Linked DNA regions of Schizosaccharomyces pombe. Changing the gene in region 2 together with the main gene of any one other region gives a genetic interaction. Each region holds a gene or a part of one and is shown on either strand. Other genes may lie near its edges. The genes, in order: aru1, arg1, atg13 and car1.

Region 1 (4,974 bases), on a different chromosome or scaffold from region 2:
GCGTTTTAAATGCCGAGGGAGTAATAATTCTAGTACGGGTAGTATAGAATTCATTGACAACAAAACCGGCAATGCACAGGATACCAAAAATTAAATAGCACAAGACATTGGCATGGGCCCAATGACCTGTTGTAGATCCAATATTCAAACCAACTAAAAACAACACAACACCAGTCGTAATGGTAATAATGCCCACAAAGTCAAAATCACGTAAAAACACGCGAAACGAAACTGTAGGCTTGGGTACAAGATTGAGGAAAAAAATCAAAAGTGCGAGCGAAAGACCACCAGTAGGTAGATTAATGAAGAAAATCCACCGCCAACTAGCCTTTTGCGAAATTGCACCACCGATTAAAGGACCCATGACAGAAGCAAGGCCCCAGGTGACTCCCATACAACCTGTGTAGTAAGGTCTAGTCTGTAAAGGAGTAATGTCAGCTATAACGATTGTAACTAGAGATGTAATGCCTCCACCGCCGATGCCCTGCACAGCACGGCATAGTACAAGCCAAAGCATATTTTGGGCAGCACCACACATGGCACTACCGAAGAGGAAAAGAACAATGGAAGTATAGAGGACAATTTTCCTACCGACTACTTCACTCATGATACCACAAAATGGAAGAATTGAAGTTTGAGCCAAAGTATAAGCAGTACCAATCCACGAATACGATGAACCGCCATCGAGATTTGCTACAATAGTGGGAATAGCTGTAGTAATGACAGTTTGGTCCAAGGCGGACAGGAAAATCGACAACATAAGTCCTGGAATAACGATGTACATTCGATTGGAGGGCAACACGAGGGTGAAATCGGAAGAATCATCTTTCTCAGACGATGCTTCATGGGTTGAAAACCGAGACTTTAGAGAACTAGTACCATAAATTTGATCTTGGGCTGAAATAGAAAAGGCTTTTGATTTTGCAGGCTTTAGCTCGTTCACCTCATCAACGGTGGAAGAGAACCATGTTACCTCATTCCCTGTGCTATAGAGATTCAATCCTCTAGTCGGATTCAAGCTACGATTTGGAGAAGACGAAGGGTTCATAATATCTTGGAGCTGAGAGACAAATGCAATTGTAAAGAAAGGGGTTCACAATTACAAAATGCAAAACGAAATGAAGTAAAATTCAAAAAGAAAATAGTAAGGAATGCAAGAAAAATTAAAGTAATGCAATATAATGACACTCTTGATTAGAAATATAACAAATGAAGAAATTAAAGGATGAAAAACAACATTCACATAGCAGCTATAGTGCTTGAATAGTTTTTAAATGGAAACGGACGCATTGTTATATTAATTTACAATGGAACTTTTTGACGATTTACAAAGATAGGAGATTCCGAGGAAGCACGCATCAGGCTGAACTAGAATGCCTAGTGGCAGCACATAGATAAAGTCCATGCACAACAGTATAAAGGAAGTGCACAAAGACAAAGGCAACCCTAGTTGAGCATCAAAGGGATGAGTATTTGAGCATCCTGACTATGACTTTGGCATGATTTCTGAATGATAACTCCGTATACACTTTTGTTTGGAACAGCCACAATTAAACAAATTTTAGAACATGCAGTAAGGTTCAGTAAACAGAAAGAGAGAAACAACGATGCTGCATAGTGTGAACGAGCTGAGTTCGATCGTAAAGTGACAGTAGCGAAGAGACAGACTATTATTGATTGTTAGGTTGACTGAAAAAATTTACAAAAAATGAGGTATTTTGATTTGACTATAAACAAAGCAAATTTCAGTATTCAATCTTTAAGCAAGTTTCTTAGGAGAAACCTAGAAGCAATGCAATACTATAATGGTTAAACAAAAAAGAGCTAACGTTAACCTGCAAAAGAGATGATAAAAGAAAGCAGTAAAAATAAAGCTATAGTTGCTATAAGTATGCAAGTAGTATGTAACGTATGAACTATTATACAAATTTCCCTTTGTATTGAAACTCGATATTAAAACGTTCTTTTAGTTTAAGAATCGCACTGGGACATCGGAAAATAACTGGGCAATGCACAGCCATTAGGAAGACTTTAAGAAAAAAAAAAACGACAGCTACTGCAAAACATCAAAGTTACAAGCGATTATTCCGACTGTTGAAATTTCAACACCCGACCCCCAAGGATCTAAGCATGATTTAAGCAGTAGGAGAGGCCTGAAAACCTGCATATCTAGCTCACAATACATTCATAAGAAGAAAAATAGATAACTTTAGATCTGCCATATCACTACTAAACAAAGAACGAACCTTCCCTTTATCGAGAAAGATAAAGAAGATAGTGAAATAAAGGTGAAGAACATGTTACCTTAGTGAAAATTTTACAACGCGGAATTACTCTGATATAACCTGCGAATGAGATTCGCTAATATTTCTGGGTGGCCTCCACGGACTTAAGAAAGAGCAAGTATATTAATTTTCATTCCGTTTTTGAACTTGTCTTTAGTATATGCCATTCTTTCTCTTCTTATTGAAAAGTACTCGAAAATAAAAAAAATGTCTCCTCATAAAATTAGTGATAACCACCGTCATTTGATGTTAAGTAGATTTATGATGGGAAATGGTGTTTCCATCATAAACATGCCTTTCTCTGGTGGCCAGCCCAAGGACGGTGCAGAGTTGGCTCCCGAAATGGTTGAAAAGGCTGGCCTTGTGGATGATTTGGAACACCTTGGATACGATGTCAAGCTCATCCAAAACCCCGAATTTAAAAGTCGTCCTTCCAAGGAGGGTCCCAACCAGGCTTTAATGAAAAACCCTTTATACGTTAGCAATGTTACTCGTCAAGTTCGTGATGCTGTCCAACGTGAATTAGAACAGCAAAGAGTTGTTGTCAACATTGGCGGTGATCATTCTCTTGCCATTGGTACTGTGGAGGGTGTGCAGGCCGTTTATGATGATGCCTGTGTCTTGTGGATTGACGCTCACGCTGACATTAACACTCCTGAATCTTCTCCTTCTAAAAATCTTCATGGTTGCCCCTTGTCATTTTCTTTAGGATACGCCGAGCCTCTCCCTGAAGAGTTTGCTTGGACCAAGAGAGTTATTGAAGAGCGTCGTCTGGCTTTTATTGGATTGCGTGATTTAGATCCTATGGAGCGCGCTTTTCTTCGTGAGCGTAACATAGCCGCTTATACCATGCACCACGTCGACAAATACGGAATTGGCCGTGTCGTTGAGATGGCGATGGAGCACATCAATCCTGGTAAGAGACGACCTGTCCATCTTTCCTTCGATGTTGACGCTTGCGATCCCATCGTTGCCCCAGCCACTGGTACCCGTGTTCCAGGCGGTTTGACTTTCCGTGAGGCAATGTACATCTGCGAAGCTGTAGCTGAATCCGGTACATTGGTTGCTGTTGATGTTATGGAGGTTAATCCACTACTTGGTAATGAAGAGGAGGCCAAGACTACGGTGGACTTGGCCCGCTCTATCGTTCGTACTAGTCTTGGTCAAACTTTACTTTAAAATTACAATTTATCAATATATAAAACGAATATTGATTTTCATGAGCTGACGGGACGAAGAGTGCATTCTTTTTATGTGGAATTAAGGGAAAAAATATAAATAACGTTACTATTGTTTAACCGTTTAAATAGAATTGACTTAGGTATTAACAAGTTTTTTGATCTGATTACTGAAGTTGAGTAAAAGCATATTATCACGTAAACATTTTTATTAAGGATAATCACTAAAAGTAAAACAAAATAATCAGTACAACGGAGGATACGACTCCAACGAAACCGGTGAACCATTGATTGGTTTGTATTTTCATGTCATTAATTTCTTTGTGTAAAATATCCACTTCATTGAGAATTTTCGTTTCATTTTCGTGAATATTTGTGTTTCTAGACGTTGCGGCATCTTTCATACGTCCTTTTTCAAGGTTTAAATTCAATCTGACTTCAGACAAAGCGGTTTTAACGTCTTCGCGGAGAGAACTCTTGGTTTTTTCAATTTCGTTAATAAGTTTATCAGAGCTTTTCCTAACTTTATCAAATTCATTTTCCTCAATCGTCTCCAAATACTTCCGAATTTGTAAAAATGTTCTTTTTTGCTGGAACGACACAGATTCCTGCTTAGCTTTAAATCCTATATTTTTCTCTAACTCTGTAAGCCTATAACGTTAGTTGGAAAGCTCTTAAACTTTTTACTTACGCCTCTCCAGTAATGGTCCTCATCAAATTAGTAATTGTTTCTGCATTTTTTACAGAATAACCAGCCTGCTCTAGTCTTCTGGAAGACTGTTTAAGCAATTCAGGGCTTGGTTCATAAGATGCAGAATATCTTTCGGATTGGATTCTATTAATAATCGTCCAAGGTCTATTTTGACTTAGAAATGGGAAAATTTGTTTCCGAATAATCATTTGTTCCTTTTTTATTTGTAAATTCTAAGGAACGATTCAATATTCATGGGCGATTTGAGAAAAGATACGTCAAAAAAAGTAAATTATGTTAAAGAAGCAGACAATTGCATTTGAAGAAAATCAATCTTTATACTACTACGTTCGGTGGTGATAATTTAGAGGTTTTGGTGTTTCTGATATGGTAAAATAAGGCGGACTAATGAATATTTTAGTCTCTAAAAATAAAAGAAATATATATGTATATTAAATAATAATTTTTTAAACGATTTAAATTGGGTTTTATTTCCATGATTATTCTTCACAAATTATGACTAAGGTAAACCAACTTGCTTTAAATTTTAGCGGGCCAGTCTTTAATATAGCATTTACACCAGCACCAAATGTACGCTAACAAATAAGATTGTGGATGCTGAAATTGCGTAAAAATAAAATGTACAATATTAAACAAACTTCTTTCTCAATGTTAAAAATACGATTTTCTTAATCCTAAGCCTCAAATAGTTTTCGGTATCTGTAAAATATTCGACGTATCTTATATAGTAATTAATAAATATTATTTAGTGTCCCACTGAAAAAGCGTTTGCAGTGTAAACCCGTTAATAATTAAGTCT
Region 2 (5,706 bases):
GGAAAGGCACTTGCACTTTACGGACACTTAAGTCAAAAATACACCCCTCTTGGAATGAATGTAGCTATTTTTGGGATCTCTGCCTACATAATGTATCGCTCTAGCAAAAAAGCGAAACAAAAACAAGCCGCTGCTGCTGCCGCCGCCGCTGCAAAAAAGAAATAAGCTATGTGGAAAATACTATTAGTTTTTGATAATATCAATTTTTTGAATAATTATACGAGAGTTTGTTACATGTTCTATATGTAAGGCACCGCTCTAGTAAAGGTTTATACCCTATTTGTTTCATTCCTTCCTTTTTTAACAGAACGTAGATTTTCCAACCTTATTGCTTGTTTGGAGATTCATTAGAGGAATCATCTTTTAGCTTAGAATAAACGGCAAAGTACTGCCCGTCTCTTTTCTTAGCATTCTGAAATACATTCCACGGCTCTTGATCGGGTAATGATGGTAGAGATTCCGCATTAATAGCATGATTCAAAGTACGAAATGGTTCCTTAATGAAGGATGTATCAAGTCTCTCAATTGCATGCATTTGAATGATTCCTTCGTTGAGTTTTAGAATTGTTCTTTCATTCTCTTCCTTAGAGTCTGCTTCACGAAGACCAACGAGCCTCAGCAAATGACCATACTCAGTTAAGCCAATTGGTTTGGGTGGATTTCCTTGGAGAATTCGTTTAAGTGAAACCTTTGAAGGTTTCAAAAATGGCATAGTGAAAAGGAAAATAGAGCTAATTACAAGAGAAAAATATAGTACAGGTTAAAAAAAAGATTCAATCTTAAACACTTTGTAAGTTTTTCAAATGCTTTGAAACAGCTGTCGAAGTTGTAGTCGGTTCCTACAATTTAACGACTAGGTTGTAAGTCTGGGTTTTTTTAGAATTAATAGTAAAGGAATATATTAAATCATTCGGTAAGTAAAGTCAATATAATCAGCTTCTCTAATTAGGAGAACTATTTTTCATTACTATGATAACCGTTTCCCATTCCCTAAATTTACGACATCCTGCGATGTCTGTATATAACTTTACATAGCAGTGTTCCAGTACGTAATATTGTTGAATGCTTGCGTAGAGTAACGACTTTATTAAAATTGGTTATTGCAATTGAATAAGGTAATATAAAATGCCACATTATTAGCACTTTAGGTGTCTACATGTTTCGCTATTTTTTAATGATGTATGAGAGTATTGTTTATACCCAAAATTGTAAGCGCATTTTCCATCCTTCTGCCTATTACAAGAATCGCGTAAATCATGAGAAAAATTTGGGAATTAAAAAAGAAAGAAGCTCAAAAAGAGAAAAATGCGTCAGGGATTAGTCCAGCACAAATCCGAATCCAAAAAGGTGCGACTCATCATGTTGATAACTTTTCGCGATTTACTCGAAACTAACCATTTTCGATGAATTTAGACGTTACAGATTTAGAAATCCCATCTACGATGTCTACAAGCTGGCCAGATCCTATAAAATTGAACGTGCTACATTTAGAAATCCGGCCTGACGAAGGTAAGTTTGTGATTCCGCATGAAAGAATATTTGGTGTAGACTTTTTGAGACTATTATTTTTTATTTTGATTAACATGAAAAGGGTATTACAAGGGTGGGAAATTTAAATTTCGAATCCAAATCGACGATAATTATCCTCATGATCCTCCTAAGGTTAAATGTCTAAACAAAGTATGTCAGTCATGCTCTAAATTAGAGTTGCAGCTTATGGTATATTTTTTGCATTTAAGAAAATAACCATTATAACATGTTTTGAACCCTTTCGTTCTGACCTACTGTTAGATCTATCACCCAAATATCGATATTGAGGGAAACGTATGCCTCAATATTCTGCGTCAGGATTGGAATCCAGTGTTGAATTTGAATTCTATTTTGGTTGGATTGCAATTTTTATTCTTGTCACCAAACGCAGAAGATCCACTCAACAAAGGTAGGTTAATTACAATTTTTTGGGGGGCAATGAACTATTTCTTGTTATTGCATTACAAGGAAATGATTATTCATCTCTTAACTATCATTTGATACTCATTTTTTCTACGATCCTTTATTATGGGATTTATAAGGTTCTTTACTGAGGACAATGATTATGATAAGCAATTTTAATATAAGAAATCTGGTTTGCTCCTTAACAAATTTTCTAGATTTATTTAACTATACTAACAAACGATATCTTTTAGAGGCGGCGGCTGATTTGCATAAAGACCCTCAAGGATTTGCATCTCGTGTGCGTACAGCCATGAAAGGTGGTCTTGTGAATGGAATTTCTTTTGACAATGTCATGGCTTAATTTTTCATCAATCTAAATCAATTCGATAAAGATAACCGACATAGATTAGACGACTGTCATGAAAATATTGATGTGTTTTAAATCTCGCTAAATCAGTCACGATTACGATGAACTTCCGATATCAGTATAAAAACACATAACCAGAACCAAACCCCCCTAATAAGCCCGTAACTGCTTTACAATGTTTCAAAGACGATCACTTCTCTCTGTTCGTTCGTCTGGTTCCCAAATCGCCTTTCGTCGATTTGTCAGCGTAAGTACAAGTTTGTTGATAGAGTATGCATTGTAAGTGCAACTGAACATACGATGGCAAATAATTAGACTATCATCTAATTCTGATTGTTTTCGAGAATTCTGTACTTTGCTCTTGTTTTTAGACAAGTATTGATGTTGAGAATGCTTCTTACTGACCCAACAAAATAAATCTTCATTTGTGCTTTCATACTGCCTCATACAGTACTAATTTTAATATTTCTTAAACTGCTTATTAACCAAGTTTAGCTTACCCACAAAGATCCAACTCCTGATACAACCAGTTGCAATATTATCAAGAAGGAAGGGGCGAATATTATATCAGTTTATGCACGCTATCCAGTCGTAGCTGCTAAAGGTGAGGGCTCCTATTTGTTTGACAAGGAAGGTCGTAAATACATTGACTTCACCTCTGGCGTAGCTGTTACATCTTTGGGTCATGCTCATCCTGAAGTTGCTAGACTTGCCGCTGATCAATGCTCCAAATTAGTCCATAGTAGCAACCTTTTCTACAACGAGCCTGCCATTGAGCTATCTAATGTCATTAATAATTCTTTGGCAAAAAATAGCGGTATTGCTGGCCCCACAAAAATTTTCTTTGCCAATTGTGGTACTGAGGCCAATGAGACAGCCTTGAAGTTCGCTCGTAAGGCAGCGTTTGAGAAGTATGGAGAAGGGAAGAGTCAAATTGTTTACTTTAATAACTCTTTCCACGGCCGTTCTTTGGGATCTCTTAGTATCACTGCGAACCCCAAATATAAACGTGGTTTCCAACCATTACTTCCTGATGTCGTCCAAGCCGTCTATAATGACCCTGCATCCATAGAGCAATTTGTCAATGACAAAACTGCGGCTGTTATTGTCGAGCCCGTTCAAGGTGAAGGTGGTATTTGTCCTGCCAAGCCTGAATTTTTGATTGCTTTGCGCAAGGCCTGTGATAAGGTTGGTGCTTCTTTAATCTATGATGAAATTCAATGCGGACTTGGTCGCAGCGGTGATCTTTGGGCCCATAGTATCGTTAAGGATGTCGCTAGTCCCGATATTATCACAGTTGCCAAACCTTTGGCTAATGGTCTACCTATCGGCGCCACCATTGTCTCCAGTAAGATCGCTGCTGAAATTCACCCTGGTGAACATGGCAGTACTTTCGGAGGTAATCCTGTTGCTTGCCGTGTAGGCACATTCTGTGTTAATGAATTAGGGTCATCCAAGATTCTACAAAACGTTAGAAAGCAACACAAGGCTCTTACTTCACGTTTTGATGACTTTGTTGCCAAATACCCTAATCTTATTCGTGGATATGCTGGTCGTGGTCTTCTTCTTGGTTTGCAATTTACCGAGCCCCCTGCTAAATTTATTGAGCTTGCTCGTCAACAAGGTCTTTTACTCTTACCAGGTGGAAACAACAACACCCGTGTCCTTCCTAGTTTGAATGTTAAAGATGAGGTTATTGCTAAGGGTTTGGATATCATGGAGAGCACTTTGAAGGCTTTAAGTAAGTAAAAGTGTATGTTTTCGTAGACTTGGTCATTGAATGGATTGGTTATATAGTGCGATAAAAAGTGATTATTACGAGAAATCTTGTTCCTCGAAAACATATATTAACCTTGCTCTCATTTGCCAACCAAAAAATTTTTTGATAGGGGGGTTACGAAAAGCTTAGCTGGAAGCTTTACATTGTAAATACTGGTTTTCGTTATTCCCTTTCTTTTCATAATCAATTTTGTTTACATTTTTTGTTAGAAAATTAGATATATATTGTTGTTTTTCATCTACTAAACTGAATTGTCGTAATATGTACCGTAAATACTCTGTCAAATGATAGTAATTCACAAAATCAATGTTTTTTTACTGCGTTTTCTATTACTAACTTTTAAAAAGTTATATAGCAAATAACATTCCATGTTTTCTTTTAGCATTAACTATTTTTTTCTTTGGCATACAATTATTATATCAACATGCTATTCATTCAATTCACATTAGAACGATATCGTTATAAGGAATTCTTAATCAATTTTTCGTTTCTATATTTTATCTTAATTTAAGGCGCACATCGATACTTTAGCAAAATACCACCATATTCAAAAATAAACAAAATTTTTTATCTTTCTAAAAAATATCATTTTTTTAAGTAAGTTTAATCATTTTATAATGATTGAACAATGAATATCATCTCATGCTTATTTTGAAGAATCGCATTTCGCGTAACTAAAAGCAAATTTCTTGGATACCCTCAGTACATTTCCAAAAATATTACTAAAGATGGTAGGGAGGGGATCTTTTTCATCTACCTCGAGCGCCTCATCCATTAATTGGATTCCAAAAAACACTAAAACTAGCATTGAAAGTGTTTCTAACACTATTTCGTTGTCGGAAAATGGGCAGAACCAAGACTTGGAGACTGTTACTACTAAGGAATCAAACGTTGGCGACTCTGACACGACTGAAAACATTAAAAGTCCGTTTAATGGACAATGGCCATTTAGCAGAAGATCTAGTCAAAGTAGCAGTCATCCGGTTTTTGAGGAAACACATTGGAGTAAGCATTCCAAGCGCCCAGGAAAGTTGAACGTTTTAACGCCTACTAGCCCTTCTAATGTTAATGCCGAAGTTCAAAGTATTTCTACGAAAACTCAATTATCGCTGCTTAACCTCTCTCCGCATAAGCATAAAAAGCCTAAAGATGGTTTAGATCTTTCTGCTTTGCAGAAAACGCTCAACGGGTCTCGAAATTTCTTAAGAGGAAGAAGAGACGCTGGGGGAATTTTTGGCGCTTCCATCCCACAATCACTTGTTACAAATCAAATAATCAATGGCTTCGGTGCAGCCTCTCTTGCATTTGCTAAATTGGGCAAAGTTCGCTCTCCTTTAGAAGGTCGCTTTAACCTGGTTCCCATATCCGCGGATGAAACTTGGCTTATTGTGGAATCCGAAGTTTGTAGTTTATATTCGGGTGAGGCTTTGCACTATTCTCTTGAAGATTTGAATGGAATTCTTATATTACATTTACAAGCTCTTATCCGTGATACGAAGATGAATGAGTTTGTTGGACACTTGGAGACACTATTCCGTAAGGCTACCAAGTGCCTTTCGGACAGTTTATCGCCTGTTCCAGAAGAATTATTTTTGAATCGTATCATAGAAACATGGCTGTTTTT
Region 3 (6,544 bases), on a different chromosome or scaffold from region 2:
CGCCTGATTTCTATTTCGAAGATTATAATGTTCCTGTTGAGTAGTCTTCGGTTTTTGCTTGTCATCTTGAGTTTCCTGTCGATCAAATGATGATTCCTCTTGATTGCTCGAAGTCTCCTGTTGATTAGCTTGTGGTTCCTGGGGTACAGCTTTTTGACCAGCCTGTGGCTCCTGTTGGGTGACCTTTGAATAAGCTTGAGGGTTTTCTTGAACAGTCTCCAATTTTTTCCCAGCATTCTGAAGCTCCTCCTCTTGAACTGTCGAAGTTTTCTTTTTGTCCGTTTGTGATTCCCCTTGAGTAATGAAAGCTTCATATTGAGAGTCTAATTGAGGATTTCGAGGATCCTCCTGGTCAGTTGGAAAGTTCGCTTGACCAGTGTGAGATTCCTGTTGATCACTTTCAAAGCTTTGCATTCTTCCCATTTCAATTGAATCAATTCCCATCTCCAGGTCGCATGGTTTTTCTTTTGACTTTGTAAGAATGAATGATTTGATTACTTCCTTCAAGTTATACATTCTATGTCTCTGTTCATGCTTCACAAGTGGACTTGACGATCTAGAAGATCTATTCTGTTCATCTTCATTTTCGTCATTGACATTTTCCGGACACGGATCCTCTAGTAAGGTCTTCTGAATATTTCCAGATTCTGAACCATCTTCCTCCATTTCTTCTTGCACGTTGAAAATGGTTTCATTTTCCAAAACGTAAAAAGACGACAATGATGTTGATGATGTATTCTCGTTAAGCATTTCTCCCATTTCTTCAACTTATCTCTATCTTATTAATTATTGTTAATATTGAAGCAGTAAATCTGTTTTCAACAGTCAGATAATTTATAATTGGGGAACCGAAAAATGAAGACTTCTAAATAAAAACAAATAGCAGCAGTACAATTAAAGCCAAGCGATTATATTGGATTTCTAAAAAAAATAGAAACACCTTGTAACCAACAAATTTGAAACTTCAAAAAGTAGTATTTTAATCTTGGTGATTTGGAATGTAAAGAATATATAACATTTTGACAATTGATGATGAAAACATCGCAGCATCATGACTTATGGCATCTGCAATTTAATAGCAAAAACAAAAATTAATTAAAGTCTCGTTTCTTTATGACTCCTTATATCGTTGGTAAACCAGAGTACGAAATTCAAGGTATTTTAGTACTACCACATAATTTAATTCCTTTTTTTTTTTAAAAACGAAAAGGGCTGAGCAAACCTAAGCTTGCAAAACTTAGTACTGCCAAAAAAATGAGCATTTTATTAAAACTAAGAGCTCTTAGAAGTCAGTAATATCCTTTTAACTTCGGGTTAAAATCATGACCATTACCTTTAACATCAGTTGCATCGCTTCAAACATGATAATACTGAGGGTTTTACATTTAACTTTCACAAAAGTGATAGAGAATGCATCCTAAATCAATAAGCTAGTGCTTGTAAATGATTTTAATTAGTTAATAATTACCGTACACTCAGCCAACATAAATCGACATTATTGTTTGTTTTCCATAAGCGATGTTTGTGTATTTGGGTTTTAAAATAGCGAATATTTAGCGGCTGTCAACAAACATTTCCTACATTTAGCAATACATTACGTATCATCATTTGTTGTGCAATAAAAAAAAACGGTTAATATCCATTTATTGACAATTTTCGAAAATTGTATGTTTATGTCCGAAGTTTTTTCGGATTAAGGGAATCATAAATCAAATAAAACTCAGATTACTTAATTACTTGTTGTAGGTTATGCTCCATTTATTGTGAATTTAAATTGTTCCCTTCAACAAGACTACTTGCAGCACTGTTGCACATAATCCCTTTATATTCCAAAATAATAGCTCACAAAACAAGATTCACCGCAGTTTAAAGAGCCTTTAAATATAGCTACCATTTGTCTTATAACGTGATCGAAAGAAATCGTATTTAACGCAACGCTAATATTTACCGTGCTTCGTTGGAGCATGGCATCTGTAGTATCTTTTGCCGCTTACTACAATACTCTGCCTTACCAAATACGAACTGCAAAACCAAATTCATTCAATTAGGAAAACTAATTAAAAACTGCTTTATCAATTTAAAGAATGAGCTAACAATCAAATTGTTACATTAAAAAATTAATAATTTATACTTTGAAGTTGCAATTGAATTAATGGAAACCACATTGATATGCCGAGACTTAATACGCAGCTTCCTCGAATGTATTCTGCTCCCCCTGGGCATAGTAAAGCAGTTTCAACTGAGTTAAATAAAGATCTATCATCAGTGGGTGGTAGGAGCGCTAAGCTGGGCCAAGTCATTCACGTAAGTTAAAGTGTGTATCATAAGCTTGCTTGAGGTCCACCCATCCTTTACTTGAAAAGTATTAACATTTACAAATAGCATTGTTTTTATAAAACCGGATTAATAATTTTGGAATCCAGACTAAATGTATTTGGGACCTCTCGTCCTCGAGAAAGTTCTAAGAATAACAAATGGGTATGTATTTTTGTTTTTCTACAATGACGAGTATCGGTGTTATGCGCTTTATTCATACAGTGGTTTTCAAAAAACTCAAGATTATTTATCAATTACTTATCAGTTTACGTTCATCTCGTGCGTCTGCATAGAGTTTCATTTTTAAGCTACAGGTGAATAAGTTGATCACTGTACTATTGATGTATAAATGTGGAATTACAAATAATTAAAAAATTCATATTTGCACTTAATTAACAAAATGTAGTTCAATTTGGAAATTGTTGAAACTGAGCTTTATGCCGAGCAATTCAAAATTTGGAAGAATATTGAACTTTCTCCTTCACGAAAAATACCTCCAATGGTTTTGCACACATATTTAGATATATCTGATTTATCAAAAAATCAAACCCTTTCTGTTTCCGATGGTACTCATTCTCACGCAATCAACTTTAATAATATGTCGACAATGAAAATCGTACTTGAAAGATGGATTGTGAATTTAGATGGCGAAGCCTTATCAACCCCTCTGGAGTTGGCTGTTTTGTACAAAAAGTTAGTTGTTTTATTTCGTTCCCTCTACACTTATACCCATCTTATGCCTCTGTGGAAATTGAAGTCGAAAATACACAAATTAAGAGCTCATGGTACATCTTTAAAAGTTGGCTGTGCCCTCTCTACGGATGATGTTTTATCGAATGATTTCCTTCCTATAAGTGCTCCAATTTCATCCTCGCTCGGAAGCAGTATTGCAACTTTCTCTTTCAGCCCTGTTGGTACACCAGCTGGAGATTTTCGCATATCTGTTCAGTATCGTAAAAATTGTCATTTTGAGGTTCATGATTCTGATGCGTTACTCTCTAACCAGTTGTTATCTGCAGACAAGCATCAACTTGCTGCTTCGAACAATTCTCAAGATTTTGAAGATGGCAAACAGTATGATCAACCACCTCCTTCTTTTGCAACGCGGTTAGCTAAGCAGTCGGATCCGAATTCTCTTTTACAATCTGAAATCCAACATTTAGCTAGCATTGAGTCTATAACAGCTCAAGCAGCTCCTCTTGTTACTATACATCCTTTCAAATCTCCGTCATTATCTGCTTCCCCAGGGTCAAATTTTGACAATATGTCAATTTCTCCGAAGGTTGCAGTCAATCGTTATATACATCGCGGACCATCAGCCACCTCTTTAAATAAATTTTCAATGATTTCTGATGCTGCAAGCAAATCAAGAGCAAAATTGCCACCTCTTACATCTGGAAGTCTTAAGCTTAACACACTTGACATTTCCAATACCCCGAATCTTCGACGATTTAGCAGTAGTTTCGGTCCCCGCGAGCGTAAAGAAAGCTTTAGCTCTCGTAATCGTTTACCGCTAGTCAATCATCCTATTCGTAGCATTTTCAAACATAACGTCTCAGAGAATCCTATAACAGATCATTCTGAGCATGCTGTTTATGATAGTGAATTTGCATCAAAGGATGATCTTAGCGGTTTTATTCAACTATTAGATAGTCATGCACATCATTTAAATGCTTCGGAAGGTAGCAAATCAAGTGGTTCATTTCCAGGGAAGGTACAAACTTTGACATCTGGAATTTCGCCAGTTGCTCACCCTCATAATTCCTTGGGTAGTAGCAATGAAATTTTTGACATCGATACCTATAATCATTCAATTGATAATAGCGGATCCCGTTTTACTGAGGCTGTGAAGCATAATCTTGGAAATTCTAGCCATAGCATCATGCGCCATCACACTTTAGGTACGCTGCGATCTCGGCCTTCCTTCTCTGAAAAATCTACCTTCCCTGCTCCCCTGACATCCATTTCACAAGCTTCCACGTTCCAAGGAGATAACCGGTCTCCAAGCACTGTTATTCCTCATACTCAAACTGAAGTACCATCAGCAAACGATACTTCAAAGCAACTAGCATCTCTTCACGATATGCGGAAAAGTCAATCACCAATTTGTGCTAGATCGGCTACTTCTGCTGGACTTCCGCGTTTCGAATATCACACCAGCTTATCCAAATCACTGGAACATTCATCAACGCCAGCAAGCCTACAAGCAACAAAGACGCCCAGCCCTTCTTTTGTACTTGAGCCGGGAATCCCACAAGAGTACAAAAAGCACTTTGATAATCTTTCTGAAGAACGACGTCAATGTCTTACTCCTTCAACACCTACTTACGAATATTACAATGAGCATAACCCCAATTATGATGATGATTTATTGTTCACAATGACTGATATGACTCTTGAACCCCATGATGTTTCAGCTATTAGGCTTGGTTCTCCCAAATCCGATGATTAAGCGAAGCCTATGTTTAGAATTTGGAGTGATATAGCATCCATTTAATGCACTCAACCATTCTTGTTTTCTTTTAATTTTTTAATAGTTTTTTTCAGCTGCATTATAGCTTCAATTAAGCTTCGTTCCATACAAGTGAATTTCGCAATATTCGCCTCAATTCATGAGCTTTGGGCAGCGATTGAAAATACTCATAATGTCTGACTGTACTTTTCACATTTACCATGATTAGTATCTACATATACTGTTTATCTAGCTAGTGTAGGTATTAATTGAAATTGTAATTTAGTTTCTAATAATTTAAAAAATCACAGTTATTGAAAATTTAAATTTACTAGTTAGCAACAGAAACATCATGAATAATAGTAATTTGTTAGCTCTGTTTATTCTGTGTATAAAATATTAGCAACGTATACAGTTTCAAGATATTAATACAATCTTCTAGCTGCGATTTGAGCAATGTAAAACGCTATGATGTTTTACCATTGTTTTGAAAAAAAGAGGATGTTTCTTACTTCCTGAATATCGAAAAAAAGCACTACTATTTTATAAATTGGAATGTTTAAGATTAGTCAAAAACTATTTTTTTACCCTGGAATGCTGCACTAGAAGGCATTTTTTGTTTCCTTTTAGCCTCCCAAGAGGGATGCAGTTGCTCTGGTTTTTGAGGTGTTTGGTGCTCCGTAAAAGCATTTTCACGAGCAGCACGTTTAGCTTGCCTTTCTTCATACTTTCTCTGTCTTTCTTCACGAATACTCCTTTCTTCAGTCGCTTTTTTTATCAAATGGTTAGCACCTTTACCATACTTTTTTTCCCAAATAGCTTGTCTAGCTCTTTGACCACGACGATTTTTACGCTTCGGGATATCTACTTCTTCTAACTCCTTTTCGACAAATTCATCATCACTTTCGACTGGATCTAAGAAGCCCGCTGTAAGGGCAGGCAGATTAGTATTGTTATGTTTGCCCAGAGGAATTTCCAACATCTCATCATCAATTATAGACTTCCTGTTTATTAAAGTAGCATTTTGAAGAGATGATTCTTTTACACCTTCATTTTTCATAGAATATGACATAGACTTGTTGATTTCTTTGTCCTCAGTATTATCCAAAATCATACCAGTATCTTGATTAACGCCATCGGTGCTATTTTGAACATGGGTATTATCCACTTGGTCTTGATTAGAAGTTGATTTGTTTGACAAATCTACTTTTCCGATGGTCTTAATGGGTTTTTGGGTAGAAGACACAGCCTTTTTATCTGACAACTCTTGTAAATCGGGGTTTAAGAAACGAAGATACTTTTCGAGTATTGAGTTGATGTTTCGAATGGCATCAGATAATTGCTTGGAATTTAAAATTCTAGCAACGGTATTTCTCTGAGCATCCTCAGTCAAATCTGCAGGAAAATCAACATGAAGATTTTCGTTCAGTAACTTCCGAAAATCCTTGTTTTTAAGGATTTTTTTATAATAGCAATAATCAACAAATTTGGTGAAGTCAAATTGTTTGGCAAATTCAAATTCTGCCTCAAAACGGCCAAGAGTATCAGCATCTTCACTGGCTCTACAATTTTTAATTCTTCGTACAAGCTTTTGCCGTTCAAAGGTAGATGCCTTTTTCAATGCCTGTGATATTTTTTTCTTAAATAGAGGTATCTTTTTTGGAACATCATCGACACTTAATTGAGAGTGATGACTTTTTCTTTTGACGCCTTTGTGAGACGTAAAAACCATTTAAAAAATTATGCAAACCCTGAGTATAACCCACTAAAATCCAA
Region 4 (4,949 bases), on a different chromosome or scaffold from region 2:
AAACAGGCCTTTTCACCACTGTGGCATATTGGTAAATTTCATATTAATTCTGCTCAATTAATACACCGGTAAATCAGTTCGATGAAATGATAACGATCTTGTCTATGATTAGTTTGATCATGGGACAAGCATAGATAAGATATTTGTTAATCTGAGAAATAAATTAGTGACTCGATGGATTTCCTTAATCTTCATATCGTAAATGAAGGAGGAGCCAACATAATTTTAACGAGGTTCGTTAAATGAAACTATAGATTTGCGGACTTGGTTTATATTATTATTCATTATTAATATAGAAATTGAATAGAATACGAGAATTCCCTTGCGTATGGTATTATTTATTATTCCAAGTTAAATTGCTTGTTGAATTTTTAATCCATAAATTATATCCAATAACATCTGGCAATATCGAGTTATCGATGTTTGTTCAGGAGGACTGATATCAAATAACAATTCATTTGTCAGCGATGACAAACAGTTGTATCAATATGATATTGTTAATATTTATTAATGGAAAAGTAAAAATGATAAAGATCTTTTTTCGGATTGATGGCTCGTCGCACTTGTCAAGTATATAAGCAAAAATAGATAAGATACAAACGATGGCTGTTATGCATCCGTGGGTGAAAGTGAAAGAAAAACAAATTATTAATTCTTACCACGGAGGAAAAATCTAAAAAGGTATCAAAAATAAGGACGATGGTTATCTTTTTTTCGTTGTATGATGGAAATTGACAATATTTTTTTTTTTACAGTTATTTTTCTCGTTCATTAGCTAGCGCTGACAGAAACTATTAGTACCTCAAAGTTATTTTTTTTAATATTATGGTAATGGTATTGGGGTTCAAATTTTAAATTTCAATTAGTGGGAAAATTCGAATAGAAAATTTCATTTTTGTTAAGACATTATGAAAAATTTGAATTACAAGGAGGAAAAAAACGGTTTATGGTTGGTAAAAAAATATTTTGACGCTTCATAAATGTACTAAAAGACCATCAGTTTAATTGAAAGAGTAGTAAAAGAATTACTTAATTGAAAGTTAATATTGGTCATAATTATAATATTTAGTCAACAGTCTAAAGCATACATTTCGGGTTCTTAGCACCTAAGCAATTCAATTCATGTGAAAAAGTAAAATTCTTTCTTAAATAGTCTAGTCAAGTATCTGAGAACCAAACAGTAACTTTGCCCAAGTTTGTCGGTACAGTGTCTGAATTATGAGATTTTGAGTTTATTAATATACTTGTGTGTTGGGACGTTGAAAAAGCACAGTAGCTAATCCGACGCGTAACATACTTCTAATTCATGATATAGCATAAAATACATGGTTCTACAATAACGTTTGACCAAGACAAGTTCGAACAATAGAGCGAGCTAAATCCACAGTTGTCTTGGCTTCCTCTTTGTTGCCTAAAAGTGGGTTAACTTCCATAACATCAACAGCAACTAGAGAGCCAGTTTCTGCAACACTTTCACAAATGTACATTGCTTCACGAAAGGTCAAACCGCCTGGCACACGGGTTCCAGTAGCTGGAGCGACAATTGGATCACAGGCATCGACGTCAAAAGAAAGATGAATGGGACGTCTCCTTCCTGGATTGATGTGTTCCAATGCCATTTCTACTACTCTGGCTATTCCATATTTATCAACATCGTGCATAGTGTAAGCAGTGATGCTGCGTTCACGAAGAAAAGCACGTTCCATAGGATCCAAATCGCGCAAACCGATGAACGCAAGACGACGCTCTTCAATTACTCTTCTTGTCCAAGCAAACTCTTCAGGAAGAGGTTCGGCATATCCCAAGGAAAAGGACAATGGGCAGCCATGAAGATTCTTTGAAGGGGATGAATCGGGGGTATTAATATCAGCATGGGCATCAATCCACAAGACACAAGCATCATCGTAGACAGCTTGTACACCTTCAACAGTGCCAATGGCAAGTGAATGATCTCCTCCAATGTTGACCGCGATCCTTTGCTTCTCTAGTTCCTGTTGAACAATATTACGAACTTGGCGAGTAACATTGCTAACGTAGAGTGGGTTTTTCATGAGGGCTTGATTAGGGCCTTCTTTTAAAGGTCGACTTTTAAATTTGGGATTTTGAACGACGTTGACACTATAACCAAGACGCTCCAAGTCTTCAGGCAATCCAGCCGCCTCAATCATTTCTGGAGCCAATTCAGCACCGTCCTTGGGTTGACCGCCTGAAAATGGCATATTTATGATAGAGACGGCATTTCCCTCCATGTATCTACTAGACATAATATGTCTATGTACTTCGGGTATTTTATGAGGAGACATTGTATATATTTTTGATTCAGTCAGGTAGAAACGATGTTGTGTATAGCAAAGGACCCTTTGAAGTAGATGGGAGGTTGCGAAATTTATGGAATTCCGTTTTTCATGCCGATGACGGCTTTAATAAATAGTGAGCGTTTGCTTACTCAATAGTCTTTGAGTATTTTATCTACCGGCCGTTATCAGATCTTGCGGGCAATCATATTAGACTCATCAACCTAAAAACGGGATATTAATTCCACGGACTCAACATTTCTATACTCCGTAACGATAGCTCGGTTCACTATTATTAAAAAAAAAAATAAATAAATAAATAAAATAAATCAAACGAAATGAAATAAAGCAAAGAAAATAAATTAAATAAAAATAAAGTAATTCAAGAAAGGAAAAAATCACACTATGGAAAATTAATAGAAATAGGACGTAAAATCATAATATACACCCAACCCCTCTGGGAATATTTTCCATAGCCATTTTTTGAAACAAGTCATATTTACCATGGAACGGAAAAGATCGAAACTAAGCTACGGAATTCCATGGGTCAAGTGACTTATTTTCGGAATTGTATTGTATTATAGCATGATAGATGAAATTTTATTCAGACGGTAGTTTGTTTTGTATTTACAAGTTTAATATGGAGAATATCTGATGAATAACTTATATTTTTTGAACATTGTAACCAAAAAAGAAAAAGAAAAAGAAATAAAAAAATTTATTAAATTGATTGAATATTTTGTAACGATTATTGTAACATTGGTATAGGAGGAATATAAAAATGTTGGTTTTTAAATGAGTAAAGGATAAAAATTAATTTAACTAGCAACAATATCGCCAAGATTAGCAAGCGAGTTTAAGAAGCTATTAAAGCTATAATTGACGTTGTGCTAAAAGGTGTTGTAATGTTATCAGTTTAAGGAAAATGTATATATCTTTTTGTCAAGTTTAACTATGTTTTTATTAAAAATAACAAAATTTATAATTTCTACTGGTGTGCTGCTGACCTCTGCTCGATTTCCTTAATTTGTAATAATTTTTAAGGTATAAATTTTGCAACTTAATTATCTCTCTCAGTAACGCATCAGTGGTGTAGCGGTAACATCAATGCCTTCCAAGCATTAGCTCCGGGTTCGACTCCCGGTTGATGCATCGATTAAATTTTTGATTTTGTATTGGAATCGATTTTTATATTTTTTAGTTTTTTTTTTGTTCAACGAGTAAACAATGCTTATGATGATCAAAGGAAAGCATGCTTCTTTTAGCAATAATTTGAAAAAGGGTGAGACTTAATTTCGGTCATTAATCCGCCGTGGATAGCATGGATATAACTAGATTATTATCACCCATATGCGTTTGGCAACTATTAGGTGAAAAGTATTTAATGTTTATTTTCATCCTCAGGATTTCAAGTTATTAAAATCTGTTATAATAAGTTCATCATTCAAATTAAGAAAATTCAAACAATTAGTAACTGATCGAAAAACAAAAAACGTAAAGCTCCCGGCGGGACTCGAACCCACAATCCCTTGATTAGAAGTCAAATGCCCTAGCCATTAGGCCACGGGAGCAACGTGATTTATTTAAGTATTAGCAGTATATATTGTAATTGCAAATATGTATCAAACCATCATAATTTCATAAAAAACCGAAAGGGTAATGAAAATATAGAAAAAATTAGGGTTATGATCTAGCTAAATAAATATATCACTAGATTACTGATCAACACTAAATAAAAAAATGATCTATTGTGTTGTATACCGTCATGTCCATATTTTTATTGAAATGTCAACCGATCTATCAAAATTGACACTACATGATCTAGACATGCTGAACACGGTCTACATGCCGTGCACAAAAACAAGTAAAAAATCGAATAACACGCTGCAATTGTGTCATAAACGAGTATTCTCATGACAACGATTCATTGTTTAGAAGACAAATTTGCAGTAAGCATTTCCACATTGTTCGGTATGATAGAAACCAGTATCTAGAGATTTTTGAACCCTTAATGAACTAATGTAGATTCCGTGCATGTCCAAAACGAACAGACAAACAGTTTGTATTGGAACATCGATAGTATCCATTAATTTAATATTTTCAAATTTTTTTTTTCGTAAAAAAGAAGAAAAAAAAAAGGTATGTTTTAAGAGATGACATACTATTAAAATTTTATGATTTATAATCGATCTTGCAAACATAGTAGATTACAATAAAAGCTGCTGAACTTATAAAAGGTATCCTACATTAAAGTGCACTGATTCGTTTACGGACTTGACAATTTAAAATGTAAACTGAATTTAAAAAAAGTGAATTAAATTTTCAAAAAAAAAATAAATGAAAGATAATTATTCGACATTAAGAGGGTGGAGATGGACGCAAAAAAAAATTATTGTGAGATAATAGTCCGCTCCCCATTAAAGAAATTGTTAAGTAAGTCATGAAAGGGGGTTAACAAATGGATAACAAAAATCAAAGAAATTAATCATCAACAGACGCACGTCTATGAAAATTAAATTGAAAGTCGTAACCAAGAAGCAAAGAATTTATGGAAAAAAACCTCGCAGTGGATAGCAACGGCTATAATAACCTTCAAGCCAGAAGCTAAGTAAAAAATAAAACAACATTAATAAATATTATCATTAACAACCAATC

The links.
Region 1: mutations in arg1 (region 2) and aru1 impair growth when combined (synthetic growth defect), as found in Schizosaccharomyces pombe (one study listed by BioGRID).
Region 3: mutations in arg1 (region 2) and atg13 impair growth when combined (synthetic growth defect), as found in Schizosaccharomyces pombe (one study listed by BioGRID).
Region 4: mutations in arg1 (region 2) and car1 impair growth when combined (synthetic growth defect), as found in Schizosaccharomyces pombe (one study listed by BioGRID).

Annotation. Positions count from the first base shown.
Region 1 is NC_003424.3:1,941,739-1,946,712, forward strand, and holds aru1 (arginase Aru1), read left to right. Parts: upstream 1-2,440; 5' UTR 2,441-2,492; coding exon 2,493-3,464; 3' UTR 3,465-3,630; downstream 3,631-4,974. Other genes in the region: SPOM_SPAC3H1.06C (transporter), read right to left, coding at 1-1,048; SPOM_SPAC3H1.08C (uncharacterized protein), read right to left, coding at 3,688-4,114, 4,155-4,363.
Region 2 is NC_003421.2:1,611,669-1,617,374, reverse strand, and holds arg1 (acetylornithine aminotransferase), read left to right. Parts: upstream 1-2,438; 5' UTR 2,439-2,477; coding exon 2,478-2,549; exon of another isoform or gene 2,550-2,577; intron 2,578-2,797; coding exon 2,798-4,051; 3' UTR 4,052-4,328; downstream 4,329-5,706. Other genes in the region: SPOM_SPCC777.12C (ER stress response thioredoxin family membrane disulfide oxidoreductase), read left to right, coding at 1-165; protein Gta3, read right to left, coding at 326-712; NEDD8-conjugating enzyme Ubc12, read left to right, coding at 1,257-1,347, 1,414-1,509, 1,592-1,680, 1,792-1,939, 2,187-2,296; Protor homolog, Bit61, read left to right, coding at 4,811-5,706.
Region 3 is NC_003424.3:4,839,070-4,845,613, reverse strand, and holds atg13 (autophagy-associated protein kinase regulatory subunit Atg13), read left to right. Parts: upstream 1-2,010; 5' UTR 2,011-2,169; coding exon 2,170-2,304; intron 2,305-2,382; coding exon 2,383-2,478; intron 2,479-2,722; coding exon 2,723-4,768; 3' UTR 4,769-5,129; downstream 5,130-6,544. Other genes in the region: protein mug126, read right to left, coding at 1-759; BUD22 family ribosome small subunit biogenesis protein, read right to left, coding at 5,334-6,500. UniProt on the Schizosaccharomyces pombe protein: Component of the atg1 kinase complex that activates the atg1 kinase in a nutritional condition dependent manner through the TOR pathway, leading to autophagy.
Region 4 is NC_003423.3:322,860-327,808, forward strand, and holds car1 (arginase Car1), read right to left. Parts: upstream 2,372-4,949; 5' UTR 2,304-2,371; coding exon 1,332-2,303; 3' UTR 1,085-1,331; downstream 1-1,084.